Linked DNA regions of Saccharomyces cerevisiae S288C. Changing the gene in region 1 together with any one later gene gives a genetic interaction. Each region holds a gene or a part of one and is shown in the gene's direction. Other genes may lie near its edges.

Region 1 (8,555 bases):
AGTAGACTTCTTGTTATACGCAGCCAATTTAGAAGCTTCAGTAGCGATTCTTTCAAAGATATCGTTAACGAAAGAGTTCAAGATAGACATGGACTTTTGGGAAATACCAGTGTCAGGGTGAGTTTGCTTCAAAACTTTGTAAATGTAAGAAGAGTATGTTTCCTTTCTAGCCTTGCTTCTCTTCTTACCATCAGTGGAAGTGGAAGTCTTTTTAGCGGCTGGTTTCTTTTCAGCTGGGGCTTTGGAGGCTGGTTTCTTTTCGGCTTTAGCAGACATTGTATGTGTGTATGGTTTATTTGTGGTTTGACTTGTCTATATAGGATAAATTTAATATAACAATAATCGAAAATGCGGAAAGAGAAACGTCTTTAATAAATCTGACCATCTGAGATGATCAAATCATGTTGTTTATATACATCAAGAAAACAGAGATGCCCCTTTCTTACCAATCGTTACAAGATAACCAACCAAGGTAGTATTTGCCACTACTAAGGCCAATTCTCTTGATTTTAAATCCATCGTTCTCATTTTTTCGCGGAAGAAAGGGTGCAACGCGCGAAAAAGTGAGAACAGCCTTCCCTTTCGGGCGACATTGAGCGTCTAACCATAGTTAACGACCCAACCGCGTTTTCTTCAAATTTGAACTCGCCGAGCTCACAAATAATTCATTAGCGCTGTTCCAAAATTTTCGCCTCACTGTGCGAAGCTATTGGAATGGAGTGTATTTGGTGGCTCAAAAAAAGAGCACAATAGTTAACTCGTCGTTGTTGAAGAAACGCCCGTAGAGATATGTGGTTTCTCATGCTGTTATTTGTTATTGCCCACTTTGTTGATTTCAAAATCTTTTCTCACCCCCTTCCCCGTTCACGAAGCCAGCCAGTGGATCGTAAATACTAGCAATAAGTCTTGACCTAAAAAATATATAAATAAGACTCCTAATCAGCTTGTAGATTTTCTGGTCTTGTTGAACCATCATCTATTTACTTCCAATCTGTACTTCTCTTCTTGATACTACATCATCATACGGATTTGGTTATTTCTCAGTGAATAAACAACTTCAAAACAAACAAATTTCATACATATAAAATATAAAATGTCCGGTGGTAAAGGTGGTAAAGCTGGTTCAGCTGCTAAAGCTTCTCAATCTAGATCTGCTAAGGCTGGTTTGACATTCCCAGTCGGTAGAGTGCACAGATTGCTAAGAAGAGGTAACTACGCCCAAAGAATTGGTTCTGGTGCTCCAGTCTACTTGACTGCTGTCTTGGAATATTTGGCCGCTGAAATTTTAGAATTAGCTGGTAATGCTGCTAGGGATAACAAGAAGACCAGAATTATTCCAAGACATTTGCAATTGGCTATCAGAAATGATGACGAATTGAACAAGCTATTGGGTAACGTTACCATTGCCCAAGGTGGTGTTTTGCCAAACATCCATCAAAACTTGTTGCCAAAGAAGTCTGCCAAGGCTACCAAGGCTTCTCAAGAATTATAAGATCGGTTCTGGTATTTTAAAGAAGGCGGAAGGAACTAAACTGCTTCTCCATTGTAACTATATTAAGTGTCTATTAGACCTTTCTGTTTTTCCTTTTTATTTTTCTATATATAATTTATTGGGTATATAATTAACGGTAACATATGTCATGCATGATATAAATTTTTTGTTGTGTCTTCCTGTTTTCTCTGTTGCTCTGTTTAGGTTCATTGGGCACTGTTGCTTACTTGAACATGATTGAGTAGCAAACACATTCTGTGCTTTGTTCACTTTGATAGTGTGACGAAATTTTCACAACCAAAGGAAAAAAGCTCACGATTGCGCGATCCTGTCACGGAGAACTGTCCGCAGCAGCCCGCGGCTTCTGTCCTTATTCGCCCATTTTTTTTTGATTTTCGACTTTTTCACTCTGGCTAGTTTTATTACGCATATTTGTATATATATATACGCATAAATTTCTGAAATGGATTACCTGGTTTATCAGAAACGAGAGCTTTAATAAAGAAACATTAACGTTTCTCTGGTAAAGTCACCACACAGCATCAAATATAACAGTAATGTCTAGCTCAGAATCCATTAGAATGGTCCTAATTGGCCCACCTGGTGCCGGTAAAGGTACTCAAGCTCCAAATTTGCAAGAGCGTTTCCATGCCGCTCACTTGGCCACTGGTGACATGTTGAGATCTCAAATCGCAAAGGGCACTCAATTAGGTTTGGAAGCAAAGAAAATTATGGACCAAGGTGGTTTAGTCTCTGATGACATTATGGTTAACATGATCAAGGATGAATTGACCAACAATCCAGCTTGTAAGAATGGGTTCATCTTGGACGGTTTCCCAAGAACCATTCCTCAGGCTGAAAAATTGGACCAAATGTTGAAAGAACAAGGAACTCCTTTGGAAAAAGCCATCGAATTGAAGGTTGATGATGAATTGTTGGTTGCCAGAATTACCGGTAGATTAATTCACCCAGCCTCTGGCAGATCCTACCACAAGATCTTTAACCCACCAAAGGAAGACATGAAGGATGACGTCACCGGTGAAGCTTTAGTTCAAAGATCTGATGACAATGCAGACGCCTTGAAGAAGAGATTAGCTGCTTACCATGCTCAAACCGAACCAATTGTTGACTTTTACAAAAAGACCGGTATCTGGGCTGGTGTTGATGCTTCCCAACCTCCTGCTACTGTTTGGGCTGACATCTTGAACAAGCTAGGTAAGGATTAATGACCTTGCGCAATGTCTTCTAAATATCTTTTCTTTTTTTTAAATTAATGAAAATATAATAAATTTTTGTATGTGAGTACATATATCCGCAGTATACTATAAATGAAATAATAACATAAGTGTTTGTAACTGGCTATAACGTCCTTAAACATGTGCACTGCCATTAAGTACTTAGTCAATATTTTTATCGTTGAGAACGAACGCAAATCATATTACTAAATAGATGAACAAAAGCGCATCACATAAACAAAAACGGTATAACAGTAATAGTGAAGCTTTTTATAAACCTATAACGAAATAAGCGCTTTTCAGGTTTTATAATTCAGTCAGAGTTCTAACTGGACATCGTTTTGCAGGGGATAAAAAAAAAAAGGAAGCTTCAACCCACAATACCAAAAAAGCGAAGAAAACAGCCAATGCCAAATGACAATAAGACACCCAATAGGTCCAGCACTCCCAAGTTTACTAAAAAACCAGTAACCCCGAATGATAAAATTCCTGAAAGAGAAGAAAAATCCAATGAAGTGAAGACACCTAAAATTCCATTATTCACGTTTGCCAAAAGCAAAAACTATTCAAGGCCGTCAACCGCAATTCATACCTCACCTCATCAACCAAGTGATGTAAAACCGACTTCCCATAAACAGTTGCAACAGCCAAAATCCTCACCACTGAAAAAAAATAACTATAATTCTTTTCCTCACTCAAATCTGGAAAAAATAAGCAACAGCAAACTACTCTCCCTTCTTCGGTCCAAAACGTCAGCAGGAAGAATTGAATCAAACAATCCTTCACATGATGCTAGCAGGTCTCTAGCAAGTTTTGAACAAACAGCATTTTCCCGGCATGCGCAGCAACAAACTTCTACCTTCAATTCAAAGCCTGTACGTACCATAGTACCGATATCAACATCACAAACCAATAACTCATTTTTATCAGGAGTAAAAAGCTTACTAAGTGAAGAGAAAATAAGGGATTACTCTAAAGAGATTCTAGGCATAAACTTGGCAAACGAACAGCCTGTTTTAGAGAAGCCACTTAAAAAAGGATCAGCAGACATCGGCGCCTCTGTGATTTCTTTGACCAAGGACAAATCTATCAGGAAAGATACCGTAGAAGAAAAAAAAGAAGAAAAGTTGAATATAGGTAAAAACTTTGCCCATTCTGATTCACTATCAGTTCCGAAGGTTAGTGCCGGTGACAGTGGTATATCACCGGAGGAGAGCAAGGCAAGAAGTCCTGGAATTGCAAAACCGAATGCCATACAAACAGAAGTGTATGGAATAAATGAGGAATCTACTAACGAGCGTTTAGAAATAAATCAAGAAAAACCAGTAAAATTAGATGAGAATAGTGCAAATAGTACGGTCGCATCGGCCTTAGATACCAATGGGACGTCAGCCACGACAGAAACTCTAACATCAAAGAAGATCGTTCCATCTCCAAAAAAAGTCGCCATTGATCAAGATAAAATAACACTGCACGATGAGAAAACACTTGCACCTTCGAAGCATCAGCCTATAACATCTGAACAAAAAATGAAGGAAGACGCCGACCTCAAGAGGATGGAAATCTTAAAGTCACCTCATTTGTCGAAAAGTCCAGCTGACAGACCTCAAGGGCGTAGAAACAGCCGAAATTTTTCCACTAGAGATGAAGAAACTACAAAACTTGCTTTTCTTGTTGAATATGAAGGCCAAGAAAACAACTATAACTCTACTTCTCGAAGCACAGAAAAGAAAAATGATATGAACACTTCTGCAAAGAATAAAAATGGTGAAAACAAGAAAATTGGTAAGAGGCCGCCTGAAATCATGAGCACTGAAGCTCACGTAAACAAAGTAACCGAAGAAACCACAAAGCAGATACAGAGTGTACGAATAGATGGTCGAAAAGTGCTTCAAAAAGTACAAGGAGAATCCCACATTGATTCGAGAAACAATACCCTGAATGTTACACCATCAAAGAGGCCCCAGCTAGGAGAAATACCGAATCCTATGAAAAAGCATAAGCCTAATGAAGGGCGAACTCCAAATATCTCAAACGGTACAATAAACATCCAAAAGAAATTAGAGCCTAAGGAAATTGTGCGAGATATTTTGCATACGAAAGAATCATCAAATGAGGCTAAGAAAACTATTCAAAACCCTTTAAATAAATCACAAAACACTGCTCTTCCTTCCACACATAAAGTTACACAAAAAAAAGATATAAAAATTGGAACTAATGACCTTTTTCAGGTTGAATCTGCTCCAAAAATATCCTCAGAGATTGACCGGGAGAATGTTAAATCAAAGGATGAACCGGTTTCCAAGGCTGTTGAAAGCAAATCTTTATTAAATTTGTTTTCAAACGTACTCAAGGCTCCTTTCATTAAAAGTGAAAGCAAACCTTTTTCTAGTGATGCTCTGTCAAAAGAAAAAGCCAATTTTTTGGAAACTATCGCTTCCACTGAAAAGCCAGAAAATAAGACTGATAAGGTGTCTCTATCTCAGCCAGTTAGTGCAAGTAAGCATGAGTATAGCGATAATTTTCCAGTTTCTCTATCTCAACCTTCAAAGAAATCTTTCGCAAATCATACAGAGGATGAGCAAATTGAAAAAAAGAAGATCTGCCGTGGGAGAATGAATACGATAATAACTCACCCGGGAAAAATGGAGCTGGTATACGTGTCCGACTCAGACGATTCTTCTTCAGATAATGATAGCCTAACTGACTTGGAAAGTTTAAGCTCTGGTGAATCAAATGAAATCAAAGTAACTAATGATTTAGATACAAGTGCTGAAAAGGACCAAATTCAGGCAGGCAAATGGTTTGATCCTGTATTGGATTGGCGAAAATCTGATCGTGAATTGACGAAAAACATTCTTTGGAGGATAGCTGATAAAACGACATACGATAAAGAAACAATAACTGACCTTATTGAACAAGGGATCCCAAAACATAGTTATTTAAGTGGCAATCCATTAACTAGTGTGACTAACGACATTTGCTCTGTTGAAAACTATGAAACATCAAGTGCTTTCTTTTACCAACAAGTGCACAAGAAGGACAGATTACAATATTTGCCATTATATGCAGTTTCTACATTTGAAAACACAAATAACACTGAAAAAAATGATGTGACCAATAAAAATATCAATATAGGGAAACATAGCCAAGAACAAAATTCTTCTTCCGCTAAACCATCCCAAATTCCAACCGTGTCTTCTCCATTAGGATTCGAAGAAACAAAGCTAAGTACCACGCCTACTAAAAGCAATAGAAGAGTGTCGCATAGTGATACTAATTCTAGCAAACCCAAAAACACGAAGGAGAACCTTTCAAAAAGCTCTTGGAGGCAAGAATGGCTTGCAAATTTGAAACTTATTTCCGTTTCGTTGGTTGATGAGTTCCCTTCGGAGCTTTCCGACAGTGATAGACAAATAATTAACGAAAAAATGCAGTTACTTAAAGATATATTTGCTAACAACCTTAAATCAGCAATTTCCAATAATTTTAGAGAGAGTGACATCATTATACTGAAAGGTGAAATAGAAGATTACCCAATGAGTTCTGAAATTAAGATTTACTACAACGAATTACAGAACAAGCCTGATGCAAAAAAAGCCAGATTTTGGTCATTTATGAAGACTCAGAGATTTGTTTCCAACATGGGATTTGATATTCAGAAGTCCTGTGAACCTGTTTCTATATCCACGTCGGTCAAACCACATGTGGTCGAGCCCGAGCATATGGCAGATGCCAAAATTATGCCTAAGGATATACTGCAAATTACAAAAAAACCGTTAATGGTTAAAAATGTGAAGCCTTCTTCTCCGCCAGATGTGAAGTCTTTGGTGCAGCTGAGCACAATGGAAACGAAAACCCTACCAGAAAAGAAGCAATTCGACAGTATTTTTAATTCTAACAAAGCAAAAATAATCCCTGGAAATGGGAAGCACGCATCAGAAAACATCTCACTCTCTTTCTCAAGACCTGCGTCCTACGGCTATTTTTCTGTTGGAAAAAGGGTTCCAATCGTTGAAGATCGTCGAGTGAAACAACTCGACGATATAACAGACAGTAATACAACAGAAATTTTAACTAGTGTTGACGTTTTAGGAACACATTCACAAACTGGTACTCAACAATCAAATATGTACACATCAACCCAAAAAACAGAACTTGAAATTGATAATAAGGATAGTGTCACCGAATGTTCGAAGGACATGAAAGAAGATGGTCTTTCCTTTGTGGATATCGTTTTGTCGAAAGCAGCATCGGCGCTGGATGAAAAGGAAAAACAATTGGCTGTTGCAAATGAAATTATTCGGTCTTTGTCAGATGAAGTTATGAGGAATGAAATTAGAATAACTTCACTTCAAGGTGATTTAACTTTTACAAAGAAATGTCTTGAAAATGCGAGAAGTCAAATATCTGAAAAAGATGCTAAAATTAACAAATTGATGGAAAAAGATTTTCAAGTGAATAAGGAGATAAAACCGTATTGACTTTTTATCATTCTACAAAAGACCAGTAACGAAGTGTACCCTGTTTTTCTTTGTCGTTTTCTTCTATAATGAACAATTTACTTTACGGTCTTTAATCGATTTTAATGATTAGTTGGGCTTTTGGCTACATATGTAAAATTACATATAATATAATGGACACATAAGCAAAAAAAAAAAAAAAAAAAATAAACAAATGAGCAACCCATCAAATACCAAGAACAAAGAATTTAATATAATATATAGTTATTAAATTTAAATGTATATATGCAGTTCTGCTCTTATTTTGTGACCAATTTCTTTAAGTCATCCAAACCGACCTTGCCACTATTAGATTTGCTTGAATTTTGCGACGTTTCATGATAACATGTCGAGTGGAAATATTTGCCATTCACTTCAATAGTATTTTTCCAAACCCATTCACCAGATTCTTCATCATAAACGCCAGTAACGGTTTCCTTACAAATTGGACATTTGAAGGCCATATCTTGTGAAGTTTCTGGTACAACAACATATTTTCCCCGTATTTCCAACTCGTTACTTCTATCACTTCCTAAAGTGTTGTCTACAGAGCCTTCGTCATTTTCATCAGCGTGAATATTTAGGGCACTTTTATCGATATTTTTATTGGCATGCGGATCAGTATAATCATTTTTATGCTTTGTGGAGGTAATTTCATCATCTTTGAAGGCTGCCCATTGAGAGTCACTCAAATACCAGTTTCTTGATTGAATATTTTTCCTTGTGGTAGTTGTATTTAAGTTAGAGTTGCTTATGCCTGTATTTGCTGTGTTTTGTGATCCCTTAATTCTTGTATTTATTCTGAAATGCCAGTCCAAATGCTCATTTTGTAGTAGTTTTTCACTTTCTGAGTTGCCAAATCTCTTACCACACACGCTACATTTATTTGGCTTGGATCGGTATAATAAGTGAATAAGATTATTTTGGACGATGGGATTTTCTTGAAGAAGAGTTTGTTCGGACAGCTGCAGGGATGGGTTATTCAAAACGTCGATGTTAACCGTGGCAAAATAAGCTTTGCAGTCAGAAAGAATATCATTTAATAAGGGTATCTTTGGCAGGTTCTTCATCAATTGTTTTTCGTGTGAATCAAGAGAGTAGTTTGAGTGTCCATTTAGCTTTTTATAAAGCGTTACGATGGATTCTTTTGGTGGAGTATATATGAGCCCTTCAGCCTTAAGAGATGCATAGAGGTTATTGATTTTGTTTAGGGACTTTTTTTTCTCAATTTCTTGAAAAGATTCAACGCCAGAAATATTACCAAAAAGAGAGGAAGATAAAGAATTCTGTTGGTTCGTTGTATCTGAATTATTTCCAAACAATGGA
Region 2 (7,005 bases), on another chromosome or scaffold:
ATTAAAAACTACCTTAGCAGGGCATGTAATGACAGTGAGAGACGTTGCTGTGTCAGATCGACATCCTTATTTATTTTCTGTTAGTGAAGATAAGACGGTCAAATGCTGGGACCTAGAGAAAAACCAAATTATTAGAGATTACTATGGACATTTATCGGGGGTTCGTACGGTGAGCATACATCCAACGCTGGATCTCATAGCTACCGCAGGCCGAGATAGCGTTATCAAACTCTGGGATATGAGAACCAGAATACCTGTTATTACACTAGTTGGGCATAAGGGTCCAATCAATCAAGTACAGTGTACTCCAGTAGACCCTCAAGTGGTGAGTTCATCGACTGATGCTACGGTAAGGTTATGGGATGTAGTTGCTGGGAAAACAATGAAAGTTCTAACACATCATAAGAGGTCTGTGAGAGCTACAGCGTTGCATCCTAAGGAGTTTTCGGTGGCTTCTGCGTGTACTGATGACATCAGATCATGGGGATTAGCAGAGGGGTCTTTACTCACCAATTTTGAGTCTGAAAAGACAGGCATAATCAATACTTTAAGCATTAATCAAGATGATGTATTATTCGCTGGCGGTGACAATGGTGTGCTTTCCTTTTATGATTATAAGTCTGGTCACAAATACCAATCGTTGGCCACGAGAGAAATGGTAGGCTCTCTGGAAGGTGAACGGAGTGTTCTTTGTAGCACTTTCGATAAAACAGGTTTAAGATTAATCACTGGAGAAGCAGACAAAAGCATAAAGATTTGGAAACAGGATGAGACGGCTACAAAAGAGTCAGAACCGGGGCTAGCGTGGAACCCCAACTTAAGCGCCAAAAGATTTTAGTGGGAGTAGATGGAAAAAGTACGTACCCTGTATACGTGTATATACAATGAGATAGCATCTATAAATGGACTTTTCCTAATCAAAAGGTATTGGTTTATGATGTTTTTTATTCATCTCAGTAGCCGCAATAGCGCTCGGTAACTTTATACCACAGCAGTCTCCCCAAGTAGTATGAACATGTCCTTCAAAATTGCACTCATCATCCTTATCAGTCCCATCATGTATGTGGCCTCTTGGTGGAGATACACCATCCGGACAAGGCAAAAACTCGCTAAAGTAAAAATGTTGCATGATGGGCAATTTACTAAGGACTTCGGCTTTATACATTTTTATCATCCCTTCAGCAACTTTTGACCAAGTCTTTACACCGCTGATGTCATCTAGCATAGGAGAATGCCATCTCAAGGAGGCGGATGACTTGACCTTATTAATAAAAGCGATACAACCAAAATATAAGTACCGATGAGCGAACATTTCTACGAGCTCATTATTGTGAATTGATATCGGCTTTAAGTGCTTGTGGGTGGTTAATTGGAAGGCACCAAATAGAAATGGAAGGAAATGATAATCATCTAATCCCCAAACACCATGAGAGCCCGCAGGCTCAAGCCAATATTTAGTTTCTAGTATCCTCATTATTTTAAGGTATTCTATAAAAACTTTCAGCACGAGGTTAGTTGAATCGTTTGAAAGATTGAATATTCCATAACTATAGAGTCCATAAAGTAAACACATGAAATTTAATTCATGACCTGAACCATAATCAATTCTTCTTTTATTTCCCCATGATTCATCTAGATAAATCGATAATTGTTCCAACTGCTCATCTGTGAGAGAGGGAAATTCGGAACGTAAGATCTTCCTGGAATTCCGTGAAACTTCGTCATAAAAGTCCCTAAACTCAACCTTACCAAATCTCGAGCTATCTGCATCCTTTATTACTGGGTGCTTCTGAGTGATATCTTTTATTTGCGAAAGCAAGTTCATCATACTGTTTATTGACTCCGATATTGGTTCTTTGTACTGGGAATTCTCATGTCCTTTGACAGATTCAGCCAAATCTATAATAAATTTAGTGAAATGAGCTCTTGTTGGGGATTCTTCCCATAGTTTCATATCGTCTGGAGTCAATAGTCTCTTTTCTGGCAACATCTTTTTCTAAATATTTATATTGTTCTTTACGGATTGTTGTTTATGGACTGTTCTTTCTGCACAGGCGACTAACATAAAGTACCTCTCTCTTGTCATTGATATCCCTTTTGTTCTATCACATCCGTTAGGATTTTATTCTGTGCTTACTCACGTGAAAGAGAGGGAAGAGTGTAAAAGTTACCCGAAAATCTATTATGGCGGCTATTGTAGTACGTCCAAAACAACGTATTTCAATGTAAATTCAAAGCAAACACTGAGAAAAAACAAAAACTTACTTATTGGTTCGCTCAGCACCTACCTAAATGGTACTTTTAGAATGATACTGTATTATCTACCGTGGTATCGGCAACTATAGGACGGAGATAAAGCATGCCAAAGTAATTCTTCCTTTATTAGATGAGATTTCAGCGTGAGGTGAACCATCATTTGTTTGGTTGGTGCATTAATAGCCTGCTTCCTTTTAATTAAGCCGGAAAGTGTTTGTCACAGATGTCAATGAAACGTGCATCTATTAACATATTTATTTTCATTTCGAGGGTGAGGTGGTGTGGACGCGTTGATACGGCAACGGGAGTGACGCGTAAAATTGGCAGAAAAATCATCACCGTGGGTAGACTTGGAAATGAAAACATTTATAGAATAAAGGTACAGGTTGAGAAGATAAAGGGTACCAAAGTTACCATTTTGAAATCTCTGATCAAGAAAAGGTAAGAAAGCAGAAAAGGACGGTAGAGATTATTGGAAGACAAACTAATTTTGTATATGCATTCGATTTTCTTAAGCTTTAAAAGAGAGAATAGTGAGAAAAGATAGTGTTACACAACATCAACTAAAAATGGAAAATATTACACAACCCACACAGCAATCCACGCAGGCTACTCAAAGGTTTTTGATTGAGAAGTTTTCTCAAGAACAGATCGGCGAAAACATTGTGTGCAGGGTCATTTGTACCACGGGTCAAATTCCCATCCGAGATTTGTCAGCTGATATTTCACAAGTGCTTAAGGAAAAACGATCCATAAAGAAAGTTTGGACATTTGGTAGAAACCCAGCCTGTGACTATCATTTAGGAAACATTTCAAGACTGTCAAATAAGCATTTCCAAATACTACTAGGAGAAGACGGTAACCTTTTATTGAATGACATTTCCACTAATGGGACCTGGTTAAATGGGCAAAAAGTCGAGAAGAACAGCAATCAGTTACTGTCTCAAGGTGATGAAATAACCGTTGGTGTAGGCGTGGAATCAGATATTTTATCTCTGGTCATTTTCATAAACGACAAATTTAAGCAGTGCCTCGAGCAGAACAAAGTTGATCGCATAAGATCTAACCTGAAAAATACCTCTAAAATAGCTTCTCCTGGTCTTACATCATCTACTGCATCATCAATGGTGGCCAACAAGACTGGTATTTTTAAGGATTTTTCGATTATTGACGAAGTGGTGGGCCAGGGTGCATTTGCCACAGTAAAGAAAGCCATTGAAAGAACTACTGGGAAAACATTCGCGGTGAAGATTATAAGTAAACGCAAAGTAATAGGCAATATGGATGGTGTGACAAGAGAGTTAGAAGTATTGCAAAAGCTCAATCATCCAAGGATAGTACGATTGAAAGGATTTTATGAAGATACTGAGAGTTATTATATGGTGATGGAGTTCGTTTCTGGTGGTGACTTAATGGATTTTGTTGCTGCTCATGGTGCGGTTGGAGAAGATGCTGGGAGGGAGATATCCAGGCAGATACTCACAGCAATAAAATACATTCACTCTATGGGCATCAGCCATCGTGACCTAAAGCCCGATAATATTCTTATTGAACAAGACGATCCTGTATTGGTAAAGATAACCGACTTTGGTCTGGCAAAAGTACAAGGAAATGGGTCTTTTATGAAAACCTTCTGTGGCACTTTGGCATATGTGGCACCTGAAGTCATCAGAGGTAAAGATACATCCGTATCTCCTGATGAATACGAAGAAAGGAATGAGTACTCTTCGTTAGTGGATATGTGGTCAATGGGATGTCTTGTGTATGTTATCCTAACGGGCCACTTACCTTTTAGTGGTAGCACACAGGACCAATTATATAAACAGATTGGAAGAGGCTCATATCATGAAGGGCCCCTCAAAGATTTCCGGATATCTGAAGAAGCAAGAGATTTCATAGATTCATTGTTACAGGTGGATCCAAATAATAGGTCGACAGCTGCAAAAGCCTTGAATCATCCCTGGATCAAGATGAGTCCATTGGGCTCACAATCATATGGTGATTTTTCACAAATATCCTTATCACAATCGTTGTCGCAGCAGAAATTATTAGAAAATATGGACGATGCTCAATACGAATTTGTCAAAGCGCAAAGGAAATTACAAATGGAGCAACAACTTCAAGAACAGGATCAGGAAGACCAAGATGGAAAAATTCAAGGATTTAAAATACCCGCACACGCCCCTATTCGATATACACAGCCCAAAAGCATTGAAGCAGAAACTAGAGAACAAAAACTTTTACATTCCAATAATACTGAGAATGTCAAGAGCTCAAAGAAAAAGGGTAATGGTAGGTTTTTAACTTTAAAACCATTGCCTGACAGCATTATTCAAGAAAGCCTGGAGATTCAGCAAGGTGTGAATCCATTTTTCATTGGTAGATCCGAGGATTGCAATTGTAAAATTGAAGACAATAGGTTGTCTCGAGTTCATTGCTTCATTTTCAAAAAGAGGCATGCTGTAGGCAAAAGCATGTATGAATCTCCGGCACAAGGTTTAGATGATATTTGGTATTGCCACACCGGAACTAACGTGAGCTATTTAAATAATAACCGCATGATACAGGGTACGAAATTCCTTTTACAAGACGGAGATGAAATCAAGATCATTTGGGATAAAAACAATAAATTTGTCATTGGCTTTAAAGTGGAAATTAACGATACTACAGGTCTGTTTAACGAGGGATTAGGTATGTTACAAGAACAAAGAGTAGTACTTAAGCAAACAGCCGAAGAAAAAGATTTGGTGAAAAAGTTAACCCAGATGATGGCAGCTCAACGTGCAAATCAACCCTCGGCTTCTTCTTCATCAATGTCGGCTAAGAAGCCGCCAGTTAGCGATACAAATAATAACGGCAATAATTCGGTACTAAACGACTTGGTAGAGTCACCGATTAATGCGAATACGGGGAACATTTTGAAGAGAATACATTCGGTAAGTTTATCGCAATCACAAATTGATCCTAGTAAGAAGGTTAAAAGGGCAAAATTGGACCAAACCTCAAAAGGCCCCGAGAATTTGCAATTTTCGTAACCAAGGACAAATACCCATAGAAAATGCTGCCCCTTTTTAAGAGAGAAGATGGTAGATACCAATACTCAGAATTCATCTATTCATAACTTTTTGGGTTTTTATTACATATAGAGTGACGTTTTGATACGATTTACATTTTGAAATATATAGATTTTTGTATATTAATAAGTTTTGATTTTCAGTTTTAGTTATGCTTAATGAATTTTTGAATCAGAAAAAGAAGTTCTGAAAAAAACATAATCCTGCTTGATGTGGTACAACAAGCTCATAAATAATTTTAAAAAGTTTGTTAATCCGTTTTCAATATCTTGAGCTCCTCAATTGTATTTGCTGAGGTCTGATTATTTCTATAACCAAAAGCGGTTATTGAATCTATGGAGAGGCTGTAACCCGTCTTATGCCTTCCGGGTACTATATTTCATTTGCGGGTGTCGATGGATTAAGGGGCGGAGGCGGCCCTTTTTAGGATTTATATAAAAAGCCATACTTCCGTACTTCGTAACCTCTTATCAACTGGTTAAGGGAACAGAGTAAAGAAGTTTGGGTAATTCGCTGCTATTTATTCATTCCACCTTCTTCTTTTTTGAGCGAAGCCTTTATAATCAAATTTTAGTGGTCTTTTCTATTTTTATTTGAGAAGCCTACCACGTAAGGGAAGAATAACAAAAAGTATATCTCACCCTACTGTATTCATAAAAAGTTTTTTCTATTAGAATTCTATAAGAAAAGAAAAAAAAAAAGCCTAGTGACCTAGTATTTAATCCAAATAAAATTCAAACAAAAACCAAAACTAACATGTTCAGCTTGAAAGCATTATTGCCATTGGCCTTGTTGTTGGTCAGCGCCAACCAAGTTGCTGCAAAAGTCCACAAGGCTAAAATTTATAAACACGAGTTGTCCGATGAGATGAAAGAAGTCACTTTCGAGCAACATTTAGCTCATTTAGGCCAAAAGTACTTGACTCAATTTGAGAAAGCTAACCCCGAAGTTGTTTTTTCTAGGGAGCATCCTTTCTTCACTGAAGGTGGTCACGATGTTCCATTGACAAATTACTTGAACGCACAATATTACACTGACATTACTTTGGGTACTCCACCTCAAAACTTCAAGGTTATTTTGGATACTGGTTCTTCAAACCTTTGGGTTCCAAGTAACGAATGTGGTTCCTTGGCTTGTTTCCTACATTCTAAATACGATCATGAAGCTTCATCAAGCTACAAAGCTAATGGTACTGAATTTGCCATTCAATATGGTACTGGTTCTTTGGAAGGTTACATTTCTCAAGACACTTTGTCCATCGGGGATTTGACCATTCCAAAACAAGACTTCGCTGAGGCTACCAGCGAGCCGGGCTTAACATTTGCATTTGGCAAGTTCGATGGTATTTTGGGTTTGGGTTACGATACCATTTCTGTTGATAAGGTGGTCCCTCCATTTTACAACGCCATTCAACAAGATTTGTTGGACGAAAAGAGATTTGCCTTTTATTTGGGAGACACTTCAAAGGATACTGAAAATGGCGGTGAAGCCACCTTTGGTGGTATTGACGAGTCTAAGTTCAAGGGCGATATCACTTGGTTACCTGTTCGTCGTAAGGCTTACTGGGAAGTCAAGTTTGAAGGTATCGGTTTAGGCGACGAGTACGCCGAATTGGAGAGCCATGGTGCCGCCATCGATACTGGTACTTCTTTGATTACCTTGCCATCAGGATTAG
Region 3 (6,362 bases), 170 kb from region 1:
AATTAAGACGGGATTCATACACATCGTTTTGCACGTAGAAAGTTACACGCGTTTTTTTTTTTTTGAAGTTGAAATTTCAGCTACGCATCGAGAAAGTTTATTTGGCAGTTTTCTTTTAAAGTTTTGAACCTGTTTCAATACCTTATTTCCTACCATCTTTCATTATTCAGATAATCACTTTTGGGAGAAATTTGGTTGGCGTCACTCGTTCTTGCTAAGAAATTGTAATTGGCTAAAAGTATCAACGAGAGAACAAGCTTTTGTCGTTATTCGCTTGAGCAAATACGTCAAAAATAAACGAAAAAGAAAGAGCTCTATGAAATTATCTGTCCTCACATTTGTCGTAGATGCATTACTTGTCTGCAGCTCAATAGTAGATGCCGGTGTTACAGATTTTCCATCCTTACCAAGTAATGAAGTCTATGTCAAAATGAATTTTCAGAAGAAATACGGCAGTTCATTTGAAAACGCTTTGGATGATACAAAAGGTAGAACGCGTTTGATGACAAGAGATGATGATTACGAGCTGGTGGAACTGACTAATCAAAACAGTTTTTATTCGGTGGAATTAGATATTGGCACCCCTCCTCAAAAAGTTACTGTGCTTGTCGACACTGGTTCTTCTGATCTATGGGTCACGGGTTCAGACAACCCATACTGTTCCACTAAAAAGAAGGATACCACTGGCTCATCCTTTAAACAAGTAAACAAGGATGCTTTGGCTAGCGTGGTTGAGAGTGTGTTTACTGAAATTAGCTACGACACCACTATAGTTACCAGCGAAGCCACTGCTACTTTTGATAGTACAGCTTCTACATCACAGTTAATTGACTGCGCTACATACGGGACATTTAATACCTCTAAGTCGTCTACATTCAACTCCAATAATACAGAATTTTCGATCGCCTATGGTGATACGACTTTTGCATCTGGTACCTGGGGCCATGATCAATTGAGCTTGAACGATTTGAACATTACGGGTTTATCATTTGCTGTAGCAAACGAAACAAACTCAACAGTTGGTGTCTTGGGTATTGGTTTGCCTGGCTTGGAGTCAACTTATTCTGGTGTTTCTCTCAGCTCTGTACAAAAAAGCTACACTTACAATAACTTTCCGATGGTGCTAAAGAATTCGGGTGTAATAAAATCAACAGCTTATTCTTTATTCGCAAATGATTCTGATTCGAAACATGGTACCATTTTGTTTGGCGCTGTGGATCATGGAAAATATGCGGGCGACCTATACACAATTCCCATCATTAATACTTTGCAGCATCGCGGCTACAAGGATCCAATTCAATTCCAAGTCACTTTACAAGGATTAGGTACGTCGAAAGGGGATAAAGAAGACAATCTGACAACCCTAACCACTACAAAGATCCCAGTCCTGCTAGATTCAGGTACGACCATATCGTATATGCCAACTGAGCTGGTAAAAATGCTTGCCGACCAGGTCGGAGCTACTTACTCTTCTGCATATGGTTACTACATAATGGATTGTATCAAAGAGATGGAAGAAGAGAGTAGCATCATCTTTGATTTTGGTGGATTCTATCTTTCTAATTGGTTAAGCGATTTTCAGCTAGTCACAGATAGTCGTTCAAACATTTGTATACTAGGTATTGCACCGCAGTCAGATCCGACCATTATTTTGGGTGATAACTTCTTAGCTAATACTTACGTGGTATATGATCTGGACAATATGGAGATATCAATGGCTCAGGCTAACTTCAGCGACGACGGTGAATACATTGAGATTATAGAGAGCGCGGTTCCAAGTGCTCTTAAAGCACCTGGTTACTCAAGCACTTGGTCTACATATGAAAGTATTGTCTCCGGCGGCAACATGTTTTCCACGGCAGCTAACTCCAGTATATCGTACTTTGCTTCCACGTCTCATTCGGCAACAAGTTCTTCCAGCTCCAAAGGCCAAAAAACCCAAACAAGTACGACAGCTCTCTCTATTTCAAAATCTACCTCAAGTACTTCCTCAACAGGAATGTTATCTCCCACCTCAAGTTCATCTACGAGAAAAGAAAACGGAGGACACAATCTGAATCCTCCATTTTTCGCCAGGTTCATTACAGCTATTTTTCATCACATTTGATAAATCCCTCCCTCCATATAAGCATTTACTAGACTTTAAAAGTTGCAATGTATATCTGGAGGTATAACATTGTACATTACTTGAAAGAAAAGCGTCTTTTAACGTAAAATAAATAATACTGTTCTTTTTTATTGTTACTGGCTTCTTAATCAACAATTATATACTTCGACGCAAAAAGCCGGGTAAAACATTCTATCTGCCATTGTCAAAAAATATGAAAGAATTTTTTACATATAACTACATTGCATTAGTATCACCAAATCAATAATGAAATAATAGCTAAAAACTATATATTGAAGGAAATATAGTTTATCATATATATCCTCTAGTGAAGCTACTATAGATAGAAATTATTTAGCATTTCAGGATAGTTCGTTTCTCCCTTTTTTCCCCTTTGTTTTCTCTCATAGTCTTGTAACCTCAGCTTTTGTTCATTATGAGTGAAAGTGGTCAAGAACAAAACAGAGGCACAAATACATCACCAAATAATGCTGAAAATAATAATAATTCAAATGCAGCTTCCGGTCCACTCAATGGTGGTGCTGAGCAAACAAGAAACATAACCGTTTCCATTCAGTATTCCTATTTCACTCCGGAGAGATTAGCACATTTGAGCAATATATCTAATAATGATAATAACGAAAACAACAGCGCAGCATCCGGTAGCACGATTGCCAACGGTACTGGGCCCAGCTTTGGCATCGGAAATGGGGGCCATCAACCCGACGGTGCTCTTGTTTTATCTTTTCGTGATGTTCCTGCGTCTACTCCACAAGACCGTTTGAACAGCTTCATATCTGTTGCTGCTCAGCTTGCAATGGAGAGATTCAACAGACTATTAAATAGACCAAAAGGAATATCAAAGGATGAGTTTGATAAGCTCCCCGTTCTGCAAGTTTCTGATCTACCCAAGGCCGAAGGGCCCTTATGTAGTATATGTTATGACGAATATGAAGATGAAGTTGATTCAACTAAAGCAAAAAGAAAAAGGGATTCTGAAAATGAGGAGGAATCTGAAGGAACAAAAAAAAGGAAGGATAATGAAGGTGCGCCCCTACGCACAACCGCCGATAATGACAGTAACCCATCGATTACAAATGCTACGGTTGTTGAACCGCCTTCTATTCCTCTCACTGAACAACAACGCACTCTCAATGATGAAGAAACAAATCCAAGCTACAAACACTCACCAATCAAGTTACCTTGTGGCCACATTTTTGGGAGGGAATGTATCTACAAATGGTCAAGATTAGAAAATTCTTGTCCCCTTTGTAGACAAAAGATCAGCGAATCTGTAGGTGTTCAACGTGCAGCCCAACAAGATACGGATGAAGTAGCAGCTAACGAAGCTGCTTTTGAACGTATTAGACGAGTTTTATACGACCCAACTGCAGTGAATAGCACTAACGAAAATAGTTCCGCCCCATCCGAAAACACGTCCAATACAACGGTTCCCACTATCGGAAATGCAAGTTCTGGCGAACAGATGTTATCAAGAACAGGCTTTTTTTTAGTGCCTCAAAACGGCCAACCTTTACACAATCCAGTCCGTTTACCGCCTAATGATAGCGATAGAAACGGTGTCAACGGGCCGAGCTCAACTACTCAAAATCCACCCTCTAATTCTGGTGGTTCGAATAACAATCAAAGTCCGCGCTGGGTTCCCATCCCTTTGACTTTGTTCCAATTCCACAGTCCAAATCCGAATCCTTCCGCTTCTGATTCTTCGGCAAGCCCATCAGCAGCGAACGGTCCAAACTCAAATAACACTAGTAGTGACGCTACAGACCCTCACCACAACAGACTAAGAGCCGTTTTGGATCACATATTCAACGTTGCTCAGAGGGGAACTTCTGATACCTCTGCAACAACAGCACCCGGAGCACAAACTGTTCACAACCAAGGACGTAATGACTCATCGTCCTCTGATACAACGCAAGGAAGTTCCTTTTTGGAAAATATTTCACGATTAACAGGCCATTTTACGAATGGCTCAAGAGACAACAATAACGACAATAACCATAGCAATGATCAACAACGAGGTGGAAGTACTGGTGAGAACAACAGAAATAACTTGTTTTCCTCCGGTGTTGCCAGTTATAGAAATCAAAATGGTGATGTTACTACCGTCGAACTACGCAACAACAATTCTGCTGCCTTTCCTCCTACAGACGAAAATCCCTCTCAAGGCCAAGGTTCAAGCAGTTCGGACACCACCATTCATAACGACGTCCCTAATGATAACAATGAGCAACGATCATCACAATAAACAATACCGCTTCTGAAGTATGTTAATATGAAAATATGTCCTATTGGCAGTCATCCATTTTCAGACATTATTTTCTACTCCTTTTACCTTTTTTTTATCTGCATCTTTATATATATATATCATATACTTATTTTTCTTTACTTCTACTTAAAGTTCTATAATCATTGTTAATCAGAAATTTGCATGTCTCCAGCAAGTAAATATGAAGGCCGAGAAATTAAACCACCGACATAACCTCCTCTGAAAAGTCGTTTCGCAAAACAGTAAAAGGTGAAAACACTTTTAAGAACTGTGGAACACAAACTGTGTTTTCTTACCATAAAATCTTTTACCGGAGGTCGAAATCGTTTTCTTTCTGATTTGGAATTCGACGCTCGAAAAGTGCAGAGATCTCATATTGTTAACGGACTATCATCTAACTTTTTGCATAATTTATACAACATGCTCAGATATCATATGCAAGGTTTTAGTGGGTACGGTGTCCAGTATTCTCCCTTTTTCGATAACAGGCTCGCGGTAGCTGCTGGTTCAAACTTTGGCCTGGTTGGGAATGGAAAATTGTTCATCCTTGAGATTGATCGTTCAGGTAGAATAGTGGAAGTTAATTCCTTTTTAACACAGGATTGTTTATTTGATCTTGCATGGAACGAAAGTCATGAAAACCAAGTGTTGGTTGCACAGGGCGATGGTACATTACGCTTGTTTGATACAACCTTTAAAGAGTTTCCTATTGCTATATTTAAAGAGCATGAACGAGAAGTATTCAGTTGTAATTGGAACTTAGTCAACAGGCAGAATTTCTTAAGTAGTTCATGGGATGGATCTATAAAAATATGGTCCCCTCTAAGAAAGCAAAGTTTAATGACCCTTACTCCACGACCTTTAGAGATTACCAAAATGGTGGATCCATTAAACGCCATTATATTGAAAAAGAAAAGCTTTACAGGTATTTCAAAAAACAGGAACTGTGTATACCAAGCACAGTTCTCGCCCCACGACCAAAATCTCGTATTATCCTGTTCAGGGAATTCTTATGCAAGCTTATTTGACATTAGACTACCTTCCGGCAAAAATCAGAATAATTTTTTAGTGCATTCAGGACTAGAAGCATTGACTTGCGATTTCAACAAATACAGACCTTATGTAGTTGCCACAGGAGGTGTAGATAATGCCATTAGAATCTGGGACATTAGGATGCTAAATAAAAATGAATCAGCGACTATCAAGAGGACTGTGCCCGGCCAACTTCACAATTCATCATGCATCAATGAAATCCCTAATGCGCACGGGCTGGCAATCAGAAAAGTTACCTGGTCCCCTCATCATTCCAATATTTTAATGTCAGCTTCATATGATATGACCTGTCGAATATGGAGAGATCTCAGCAACGATGGTGCAAAAGAAACATATAAAACTAACTCTACGGATGCTACTAAAGGTTCCATTTTCAATTTCACACAGCATTCAGAATTCGTATTTGGAGCTGACTGGAGCTTGTGGGGAAAGCCAGGATATGTGGCTTCAACTGCATGGGATGGAAATTTATTTGTATGGAACGGCTTAGGTTGACACATATTCTTTTTACACAAATTTTTTGCATTATTTAAACTTTAAAATTATTTTTCAATCATTGTCAGCATTTGGCAGATCATTTACGTAATTATTTAATATTCTCAACACGAAATTATGGGTAACAACGCTTCTGACTGTGCAAAAGAACATTCTAAAAACATACCTACGGCAAAAACTGCTAATTACTCAAATTAATCAAGTTTTTATAACGACATAAGCGAGTGCTGAAAGAAGGAATATTTAGAGTCCGATTACCGTTTTATTAATAAACGACATACTTATATATTTGCTGGGCGTTCCACCCGAGGCACGTGATCAAAAGTGATTTTGGTTTTTTCAAAGGCTAAGCTTCGATCTCACTGGAAAAGGAACAATAGCAATACCTAATATAAAACTCAAGCCTCCCAATTATGT
Region 4 (9,336 bases), on another chromosome or scaffold:
TAGTGTTTTATCAGAATCGCAAGAACAACTAGCCAATAACCCTAAAATAGAGGATACAAGCCCTCCCTCTGCCAATTCGAGAGATAATAGCAAACCTGTACTTCCGTGGGATTACAAGAATAAAGCCATAGAGATCAAGAGCTTCAGTGGTTATAAGGTAAATTTCACCGGCTGGATAAGAAGAGACGTAAGAGAAGAACGTCAAAGGGGAAGCGAGTTTACTGCATCTGACGTTAAAGGATCAGATGACAAAGCTACAAGGAAAAAAGAACCAGCAGATGAGGATCCTGAAGTAAAACAACTTGAAAAAGAAGGAGAGGATGGACTGGACTCATAAGGTAATGTCAACAGCTTAAAGTTGTTCTCAGGGCCCCACACTTTCTAGTTTGGCACGTCATTTATGAAATTCACAAATTGGTTACATTAAGTACTAAATCTGGTAGCCGACCAAAAAAGAACAACAAATATACAATTGTATGAGTAAATATGCAATATAAATCAAATGTATTTAGTTAAAGGGCCAGAAGTAAGGCTACAGACTGTAAAAGAAAATTAGATGGAAACCCTCTTCAGGAAAAAAGGACATTATAAAAGATACAGCCAAGAAGTGGGCGTTTATAAAACAATTATATAACATGACCGTCGATTATATTCTGACAGGAATGGCGACGATTGCATCGTTATATTTCATTTCATTCCCAACTCAACGATACTGGTATCAAAAAGCCTCTCTGTTCATTATTTGTCCCACTACAAGCGACTCTCTTATTTTTGGCGGTCTCTGCCAGCTTAAGAAAAAGCGGTTACCAAACGACACTAAAAGAAGCGGCGCGTCTGGTTCATTAGAAATTTGTCAGTAATGCTGTCAATCTTTGTGTAAAAAGTCTTTCCATCAGTTGCCACCCCTTTTGTAGCAACTTCCATGCGTAGAACAACCTCACATTCATTATTTTTTTTACCCTTCTCTTTTAATTGTTCAATTGCGAACAGACCATCCAAAGATTCGAAAGAAAGACTGAGGTGCTCCGCATAAAATCTTTATAAACTTTAGAAGTAAATGGTTTCGTTCAGAGGGCTGACTACACTAACACTACTTTTTACCAAATTAGTAAACTGTAATCCTGTTTCCACAAAAAATAGGGACTCTATACAGTTTATTTATAAAGAAAAGGATAGTATATACTCTGCCATCAACAATCAAGCCATCAATGAAAAAATTCATGGAGTCAATTTGGGTGGGTGGCTAGTATTGGAGCCGTATATTACACCTTCTTTATTCGAGACTTTCCGTACTAATCCGTACAACGATGACGGTATTCCTGTTGATGAATACCATTTTTGTGAAAAATTAGGCTATGAAAAGGCAAAGGAACGCCTTTATAGTCATTGGTCGACGTTCTATAAAGAGGAAGACTTCGCGAAAATTGCTTCTCAAGGCTTCAATTTGGTTAGAATTCCTATTGGGTATTGGGCCTTTACAACGTTGAGTCATGATCCCTATGTTACCGCCGAGCAGGAATATTTTCTAGACCGGGCTATCGATTGGGCTAGGAAATATGGTTTGAAAGTATGGATTGATCTTCATGGAGCCGCTGGTTCACAAAACGGATTTGATAACTCAGGGTTGAGGGATTCATATAAGTTTCTGGAAGATGAAAATTTAAGCGCCACCATGAAAGCTTTAACGTATATTTTAAGCAAATACTCAACAGACGTATACCTGGACACCGTTATTGGAATCGAATTGCTCAATGAACCGTTAGGTCCAGTTATTGACATGGAAAGATTGAAAAATTTGCTTTTGAAGCCGGCTTATGACTATTTGAGAAATAAAATTAATAGCAACCAGATCATTGTAATACATGATGCTTTTCAACCTTACCATTATTGGGATGGGTTTTTGAATGATGAAAAGAACGAATATGGCGTCATAATTGACCATCATCATTATCAGGTGTTCTCGCAGGTGGAATTAACAAGAAAAATGAATGAACGTATCAAAATCGCCTGCCAATGGGGGAAAGATGCCGTAAGCGAGAAGCATTGGTCCGTAGCAGGCGAATTTTCAGCGGCCTTAACAGATTGTACAAAGTGGTTAAATGGGGTTGGTCTAGGTGCCAGATATGATGGAAGTTGGACCAAAGACAATGAAAAATCTCATTACATAAATACGTGTGCAAACAACGAGAATATTGCCTTGTGGCCCGAAGAGAGAAAACAGAACACTAGAAAGTTTATCGAGGCTCAATTAGATGCTTTTGAAATGACTGGTGGATGGATAATGTGGTGTTACAAGACAGAGAATAGTATCGAATGGGATGTTGAAAAATTGATTCAACTCAACATTTTTCCGCAACCTATCAACGATAGGAAATATCCTAACCAATGTCATTGAAATTTTGTGGCATATATTTAAGGTCTTGGGAATGTGATGATTATTATTGGAGAAAAAATTGCCATCTAAAACTCTTTATATAACATGATGAGGTATACAAATAAAAAATACTTTATATCTTATAATTATGCAAATAAAAGTGCTTCCATCAACCGCTACTTCACTTTTTATCTGAACTATGAATGGGGAGCTCATGATGATTACCTGTTGATATTACGTGAGGCGGAAGAGAAGCACGAGACACGGGTCACTCTCGATATTACCGGACAGTTTACTTAGACTATGTAACGAATATGAGAGGAAGAAAAACAATAAATAAATACAAACCTCTCCGCAGTTTTATGAAAGAACAGGACAGGGCGTCTATACCGATTTTTACATCTATCTTTTGAGTGCTTGAAAGGAGACGCTGGACTATATCTTTAGGTTAAACATCTGTCAAATGGCAGCAGTACCCACCATCGACCTTACACTAGCCGATTCAGATAATGAAGACATATTCCATTCTTTTTCGTCTTCAACAAGTGTGGATAAGATAGACATTAGGAAAGAAAATGGGAAATTAAGAATGGCAGGCTTGGAAGTCGCCCAATCTAATGACGATGCAGCACGTCAAGCATTCCATGTTTTCAAGACGAACATATCAAATAATGAAACCTTCGATACTATTCTTTCAAAGAGCAAGACAATCACAGACAGTACCTTCAACAATGAAAAATCTTCCAACGAAGTAAAACAGCAGCAAGTCTTGAAGGAAGAAACGATGGGATCTTCCAACGATGAGAAGAAAACACAAGAGAGCAGCCCAAGCGCAGAGATGATAAAACTTTTTTATGAAAACGATGATGTGCCGTTATCCGATAGTTTTAAACAAAAAGAGGAAGGTAAAAGAATAAATCAGGATGAGCAAGTGAAGGAAAATATCTGTGGCATTTCTTCCTCATACGTCTCCAAAGACTACGATGGCGTTGAAGATGATTTCGAGCCTAATACTTGCCAGGACAGCAATTTGGATTTTCAAGAGGAGAAGTTAAACTTGAATAACAAACCGTCACAGCAACAGTTCAGCGACCCAGAAACAAAAGATAACAGTTTGAAGAGCGAAAACAAAGACCAAATAAAAGGAGTCACAACAACAAGTTATCGTGATTTACCTATTGAATCTAGTGCTTTCCAGGATTCTGAAACTCAAAATAACTCCAAAAACACTATACCTAACATCGTAAATGAAAAGCGAACGCCAGCATTACCGTCCAATCTAAGCTCTGTTGAGAGTTCCCTTAAAAACGAGACGGCCAAAGTAGAGGGGAAGACGACCGTTCGTCTTCCAGGACTTCAAAATAATGTTGCCTTACTTGAGCAAGAACAAAGTGAACTATTCAAGCACTTTAGTGAACAACCTGTCGATATTAGCGATTTTGGTCGTAAGATTAAAAGGAAGCATAGCGGAGATTTTGCAGATAACAAGATACTTAAAAGACCGATATTGCCCTCAAAAAATATGGACCACACAACACATAATTCACATGATTCCGAACAGAAAAATAGCTCGATTATTATTCTTTCAGATGAGGACGAATCTGGTGCCGGTATCAATGATATAGAAAGTCCTTTGAAAGTTTCTGAACCAAATACAGCTGATGCGCTTAGGAGCAGTGTACCAGAAGTCATATCTTTACTTGACCTACCCAATATTGACTTGAATAACTCAGTAATAAAAGAAGCAAGTGGCAGCAATTCAATTCCTACATCAGAAACAGACGCACAATCCTCGAGTTCGTCAGTTCTTCAAGGAACTATCATGACAGAACAAGCTACTCAATCCTCTCAACACGAATGTAACAGTTCACTTGATACTCTAAAAAAAAATCATCAAAAATTATTGAAGGATTTGAATTCTAGAGAGTCTGAACTACGTAATGCTCTCAGTTGCTGCAAGACAAACTCTGAAATTTTAAGAAGGAAACTAAGTAGAAGAGAAAAGGAGGTCTCTGATGCTGAAAAACATTGGCAGTTATTGTTGACATCGATGGCTAGAGGGGGAAGAACTATCAGCTCAACTCAGCAGATATTAGTTGATGAAGCTGAGAACCAATTAAACAAACTGAAGGAAAAAAGACAGTTGACAAAATCGAAGCTAGATTCAATCAATTTGAAAATGTATAATTATAACGAACAATGGAAGTCCTTTGTGCATTCGAAAAATATAAACCTGCAGAAATCTTTGGCTGCCCTTGAGCGGTCAGCCAGGGATAGTAAAGCTTCTGCGACCGTAAATAAAAGAAACGAATGCCTGGCTGAGAAAGAAAAGCTAGACCAAATGTTAAAAGAAGGAACCCTAAGCTTCAGTACCTACAAGCAGTTAACAGGGGAGATCCAGCAGAAACTGAATGACTTGAAACTGGGGGACCAACGCACAACTGATATCAATAGTGTATTGCCAATAGTACGGCAACCTCTCGCCAAAAGAGATTTATTTATTAAGTCCATTGATACTGCAAAAGATTTATTAGCCAAGAACACATCCAGGACAGAAATGACGAAGAGAATTCTTTATAGACATTTGGACAACTTGGTCTCTTATAAAAACTTTTTTGAAGACGGAAGATCCTTAATAGATATAAACAGAAGACACGTTGCACATGAATCGGCCCAAATATTGTTCACCAACGGTGTAAAGATGCCCATTGTTTTTGAAACATTACAAGATTACGGCATCAAGTTTTCTAATCCAGCCATTGTCAATCCTGACAGAAGAGCCCAATATTTTAAAAGCATCGAAGTTGCACGCGATCTCATATCAAAGTCTACTAGATCAGAGGATGCTAAACGAAAGATTACTCGATTTTTGAATATAATTGAAGAATTTCGTAAAGATATTGACACCGGATTTCCACCTACTCCTTTAAAAAGGGAAGGCGTCGGAAAAGCTGTTGTTGGGCTAAGACAACAAGGACTTAAGATGGACAGACTATATGAAAATTTGAGAAGATATAAGATTCCAATAACAAGTGAAGAATTACTGCAGCAAAGCTATTTATTTCCGGTAAACGCAGATCAACGACCTCCTTCAAACTGGAACATCGTGGAAAATACCGAAGATACTAGTTCTACAGCCAATGATCTATCGATGCAAGATGAATTTCACATCTCTAATATGCATGCAGCAGAAGATCAAGAACAGATTAGGGCTCTTTTAGAGAATGTCAAACAATCTGAATCCATTATAGACGGCGAAGCACTTACTCCCGAGGATATGACCGTAAACTTATTAAAACACCAGAGGCTGGGTCTGCATTGGTTGTTACAAGTTGAAAACTCCGCAAAAAAAGGGGGTCTGCTTGCTGACGATATGGGCCTGGGTAAAACGATTCAAGCTATTGCATTGATGTTAGCAAATCGCTCAGAGGAATCCAAATGTAAAACCAATTTGATCGTCGCACCAGTCTCAGTCTTGAGAGTTTGGAAAGGTGAATTAGAAACGAAAGTAAAAAAACGCGCAAAATTTACTACATTTATTTTTGGAGGATCAGGTAACGGAAAAGTTAAGCACTGGAGGGATTTGGCAAGATATGATGCTGTTTTGGTATCTTATCAAACTCTAGCAAACGAATTTAAGAAACATTGGCCGAAAAAACTGGATGGTGAACAAAATCAGCTACCAGCTGTGCCTCATATACAAGCTCTTAATAGGTTGAAAACCTCAAATGAATACTACTCTCCATTTTTCTGCAATGATTCAACGTTTTACAGAATTTTACTGGACGAAGGCCAAAACATCAAGAACAAAAATACAAGGGCTTCTAAAGCGTGCTGTACTATAAATGGAATGTATAGGTGGGTCTTGTCTGGTACGCCGATTCAAAATAGTATGGATGAGCTTTATTCCTTGATAAGATTTCTAAGAATTCCACCCTACCACAAGGAGCAACGGTTTAAATTAGACATTGGAAGGTTTTTTCAGAGAAATAAGCAATATCAATATGATAACGAGGATAGAAAAAACGCATTAAGAAAGGTTAGAGTCCTTCTAAATGCCATTATGCTTCGTCGGTCTAAGGCTGATAAGATCGACGGCAAACCTTTACTGGAGCTCCCTCCTAAAATTGTGGAAGTAGATGAATCACGCCTGAAGGGAGAGGAATTAAAATTTTACACAGCTTTGGAATCAAAAAATCAAGCACTCGCTAAGAAATTGTTGAACAATTCTACGAGGGGGAGCTACTCTAGCGTTCTCACATTACTACTTCGCTTAAGGCAGGCTTGTTGTCATTCAGAATTAGTTGTGATGGGAGAAAAAAAAGCGGAAGGTACAAAGGTAGCTAACGGCAAAAGCTTTGAAGATGACTGGCTCAGGCTCTACTATAAAATCACTCACATGAGCGGAGAAGCGCAGGCTCAGGTTATTACTTCAATGAATTCTATGACATGTTTCTGGTGCATGGAACAATTAGAACCAGAAGCGATGTCCGTTCTGACAGGTTGTGGTCATTTGATTTGCGACACTTGTATCGAGCCCTTCATCGAAGAGTCATCCATGCTACCTCAGGCCAAGAAAACCAAAGGTGGGGCATTTGCTATCCCATGCAAAGATTGTCAACGTTTGACAAACGAGAAAGATATTGTTTCGCACAAGTTATACGACCAGGTAATAAACCAGGGATTTACTGAGGAAGATTTGCATGCAGAGTATTTAAGTGAAATGGAGAAACAAAAAATACAGCAAAAAAATGTATATGTGCCAAATTTTGAGAGTTTAGAACCATCTACGAAGATAGAGCAATGTATACAGGTTATTCAAAGAGTTTTTGATGAATCAGCAACCGAAAAAATTATTATTTTTTCCCAGTTTACAACATTTTTTGAGATTCTCGAACATTTTCTCAAAAATAAACTGAATTTTCCCTACTTGAAATATATTGGATCAATGAACGCTCAGAGAAGATCAGATGTTATCAACGAATTTTATCGTGACCCTGAGAAAAGGATACTTCTGATTTCCATGAAAGCCGGTAACTCAGGACTAACATTGACATGTGCGAACCATGTAGTTATAGTTGATCCATTTTGGAATCCTTACGTCGAAGAACAAGCTCAAGACCGTTGCTATAGAATTAGTCAAACAAAAAAAGTCCAGGTGCATAAATTGTTTATAAAGGACTCTGTTGAGGATCGTATTTCTGAATTACAGAAGAGAAAGAAGGAAATGGTCGATTCTGCCATGGACCCAGGCAAGATAAAGGAAGTGAATAGTTTAGGGCGTCGGGAGTTAGGATTTTTATTTGGTTTAAACGCTCTTTGAAGAACTTGGTGAATTTTGAAGCATTATTGCGATACACATATGTATATGTTGATAATTGGTGGCTAAGCTTCTAGTTTGTAGGCTTAAGTAACTTCACTCGTTGGCACTTACGAGCTTGGCATTTAATGGAACAGAAAATAAGCCGTAAATCGGCCCTACTTTAAGTATAAGAAATATGCGAAATTTGATATGATCGTTTGAATTACTTTTTGAAAAAGAAAATACCATTAGTAACATACAATATAAGAAGCTCGTCTCCTGGATTTGGAAATCCACAAAAGATTATCAACAATGCCACGAATAACATAATTGCTTCCCCCTCCTGTTAATTGCTTTAACTCATTATTGCATCGTTAACAGTTGTTACTAAATTTGATTTTTGTTTCTCATCATATATGTAATCTTCAAACGCCAGTATAATTATACGCTCGCAACAGCTACCATACATTAATGAACCGATGAAAATATCCCGTTTGATGATAACTGGCAATTAAATGACAGTATTAATTAATAATCAAAGCTGATCTTATATTCCTATAAAAGAGAAGCGTATAAAACACACGTGGATTGGGGGTGCTTTATACGTAAACTGTGATTTCAGTAATTTTCGCTGTAAGATCAAAGTAAAGACACATTCCCTTATATGTAAAGTTCAAATTCATTGTTCCACTAATAGACCGTCAACTTTTCTTTTGGATTTTCAGCCCGAACAGGTTGCTTATTATTAACTTCCTTACAACAAGGTACAGTCAGTGCATTATATAGATCTATACAACCATGTGCCTTTGTGTTTTCTAAGGCTATACTGAAAATAAATTGGTAATTTATAATTTCTATCTTCACGCGCTTTCTCACTAACAAGACTTGACCTCTCAAATAAGTGGCGCAGATGCTCTAGAAAAGGTTTCTTATCAAATAAGTTTTGCTCTTTAATCGCACAATGCAATGCAAGTTATTTTTTTTTTTTTGATTTAATGACTTTCGATTTCCTCTCATAGGCAACCGGTACTTATCATAAGTACGTAATAAGAAAAGTATGTCGCAGGACGTCATAAGCTCAGACTTGAACAAAAGAGTAACAAAATCGCCTCCACCTAATTTTCAGCCCTACTAGAGCCTGATAGGATATCGGCACTGAAGCTGATAAGAGAATCAATGAAAATATCATCCTCAACAGAAATACTGAAAAGAAGCGGTAGTTTTTTTTTCTTGTTACAATTATCAGCCAAACAAAAACAGTGATCTGAATCGTCAATCAAACATTAGTGGAAGAATGAAATAATCGAAATGACCTCTATATCCTGTACGACCAACAAGCTTAATAGTAGTGTTTCCTGGGACTAAAGAGTGTGTTTAATTATCTCGAATTTTAATACTAGCGAAAGATCTTGAATGAACACTAAGTATGATCATTTTATTAGGTTTTTTGCTCATTAGGCAATTTGTTTTTCACTGGAAGTAGAGGATTCCTTTTCATTATCTTTCTGATGAACAATTTCAAACACTTTTGTGTTTTCTGAACTAGTTTTTGTCAACTCAGGTAGTTCATCATCGGAGCTCTCAGGTTTGTATTCGTGTCCACTTGTGAAGCATTCGCCTAATGTGTAAGCACGGATTTCTTCTTCAGAAATTTCACTGT

The links.
Region 2: of SIR4 (region 1) and RAD53, a mutation in one rescues a mutant of the other (synthetic rescue), as found in Saccharomyces cerevisiae (3 studies listed by BioGRID).
Region 3: of SIR4 (region 1) and SAN1, changing one suppresses a phenotype caused by changing the other (phenotypic suppression), as found in Saccharomyces cerevisiae (3 studies listed by BioGRID, with this or other methods).
Region 4: of SIR4 (region 1) and ULS1, changing one enhances a phenotype caused by changing the other (phenotypic enhancement), as found in Saccharomyces cerevisiae (one study listed by BioGRID).

Annotation. Positions count from the first base shown.
Region 1 is NC_001136.10:914,437-922,991, forward strand, and holds SIR4 (chromatin-silencing protein SIR4), read left to right. Parts: upstream 1-3,134; coding exon 3,135-7,211; downstream 7,212-8,555. Other genes in the region: HTB1 (histone H2B), read right to left, coding at 1-276; HTA1 (histone H2A), read left to right, coding at 1,094-1,492; adenylate kinase ADK1, read left to right, coding at 2,050-2,718; PCF11 (Pcf11p), read right to left, coding at 7,490-8,555. UniProt on the Saccharomyces cerevisiae protein: The proteins SIR1 through SIR4 are required for transcriptional repression of the silent mating type loci, HML and HMR. The proteins SIR2 through SIR4 repress mulitple loci by modulating chromatin structure.
Region 2 is NC_001148.4:260,013-267,017, reverse strand, and holds RAD53 (serine/threonine/tyrosine protein kinase RAD53), read left to right. Parts: upstream 1-2,825; coding exon 2,826-5,291; downstream 5,292-7,005. Other genes in the region: mRNA splicing protein PRP46, read left to right, coding at 1-838; peptidylprolyl isomerase RRD2, read right to left, coding at 914-1,990; YPL152W-A (uncharacterized protein), read right to left, coding at 2,318-2,416; PEP4 (proteinase A), read left to right, coding at 6,087-7,005. UniProt on the Saccharomyces cerevisiae protein: Controls S-phase checkpoint as well as G1 and G2 DNA damage checkpoints. Phosphorylates proteins on serine, threonine, and tyrosine. Prevents entry into anaphase and mitotic exit after DNA damage via regulation of the Polo kinase CDC5.
Region 3 is NC_001136.10:740,056-746,417, reverse strand, and holds SAN1 (ubiquitin-protein ligase SAN1), read left to right. Parts: upstream 1-2,543; coding exon 2,544-4,376; downstream 4,377-6,362. Other genes in the region: MKC7 (aspartyl protease), read left to right, coding at 317-2,107; PEX7 (Pex7p), read left to right, coding at 4,818-5,945. UniProt on the Saccharomyces cerevisiae protein: Plays a specific role in mating-type regulation of yeast, by acting post-translationally to control the stability or activity of the SIR4 proteins.
Region 4 is NC_001147.6:689,638-698,973, forward strand, and holds ULS1 (translocase ULS1), read left to right. Parts: upstream 1-2,837; coding exon 2,838-7,697; downstream 7,698-9,336. Other genes in the region: IES4 (Ies4p), read left to right, coding at 1-337; SPR1 (glucan 1,3-beta-glucosidase), read left to right, coding at 1,058-2,395; THI72 (thiamine transporter), read right to left, coding at 9,131-9,336. UniProt on the Saccharomyces cerevisiae protein: ATP-dependent helicase involved mating type switching and in silencing interference through its interaction with the silencing regulator SIR4. Cooperates with UBC4 and UBC5 to mediate ubiquitination of SUMO conjugates.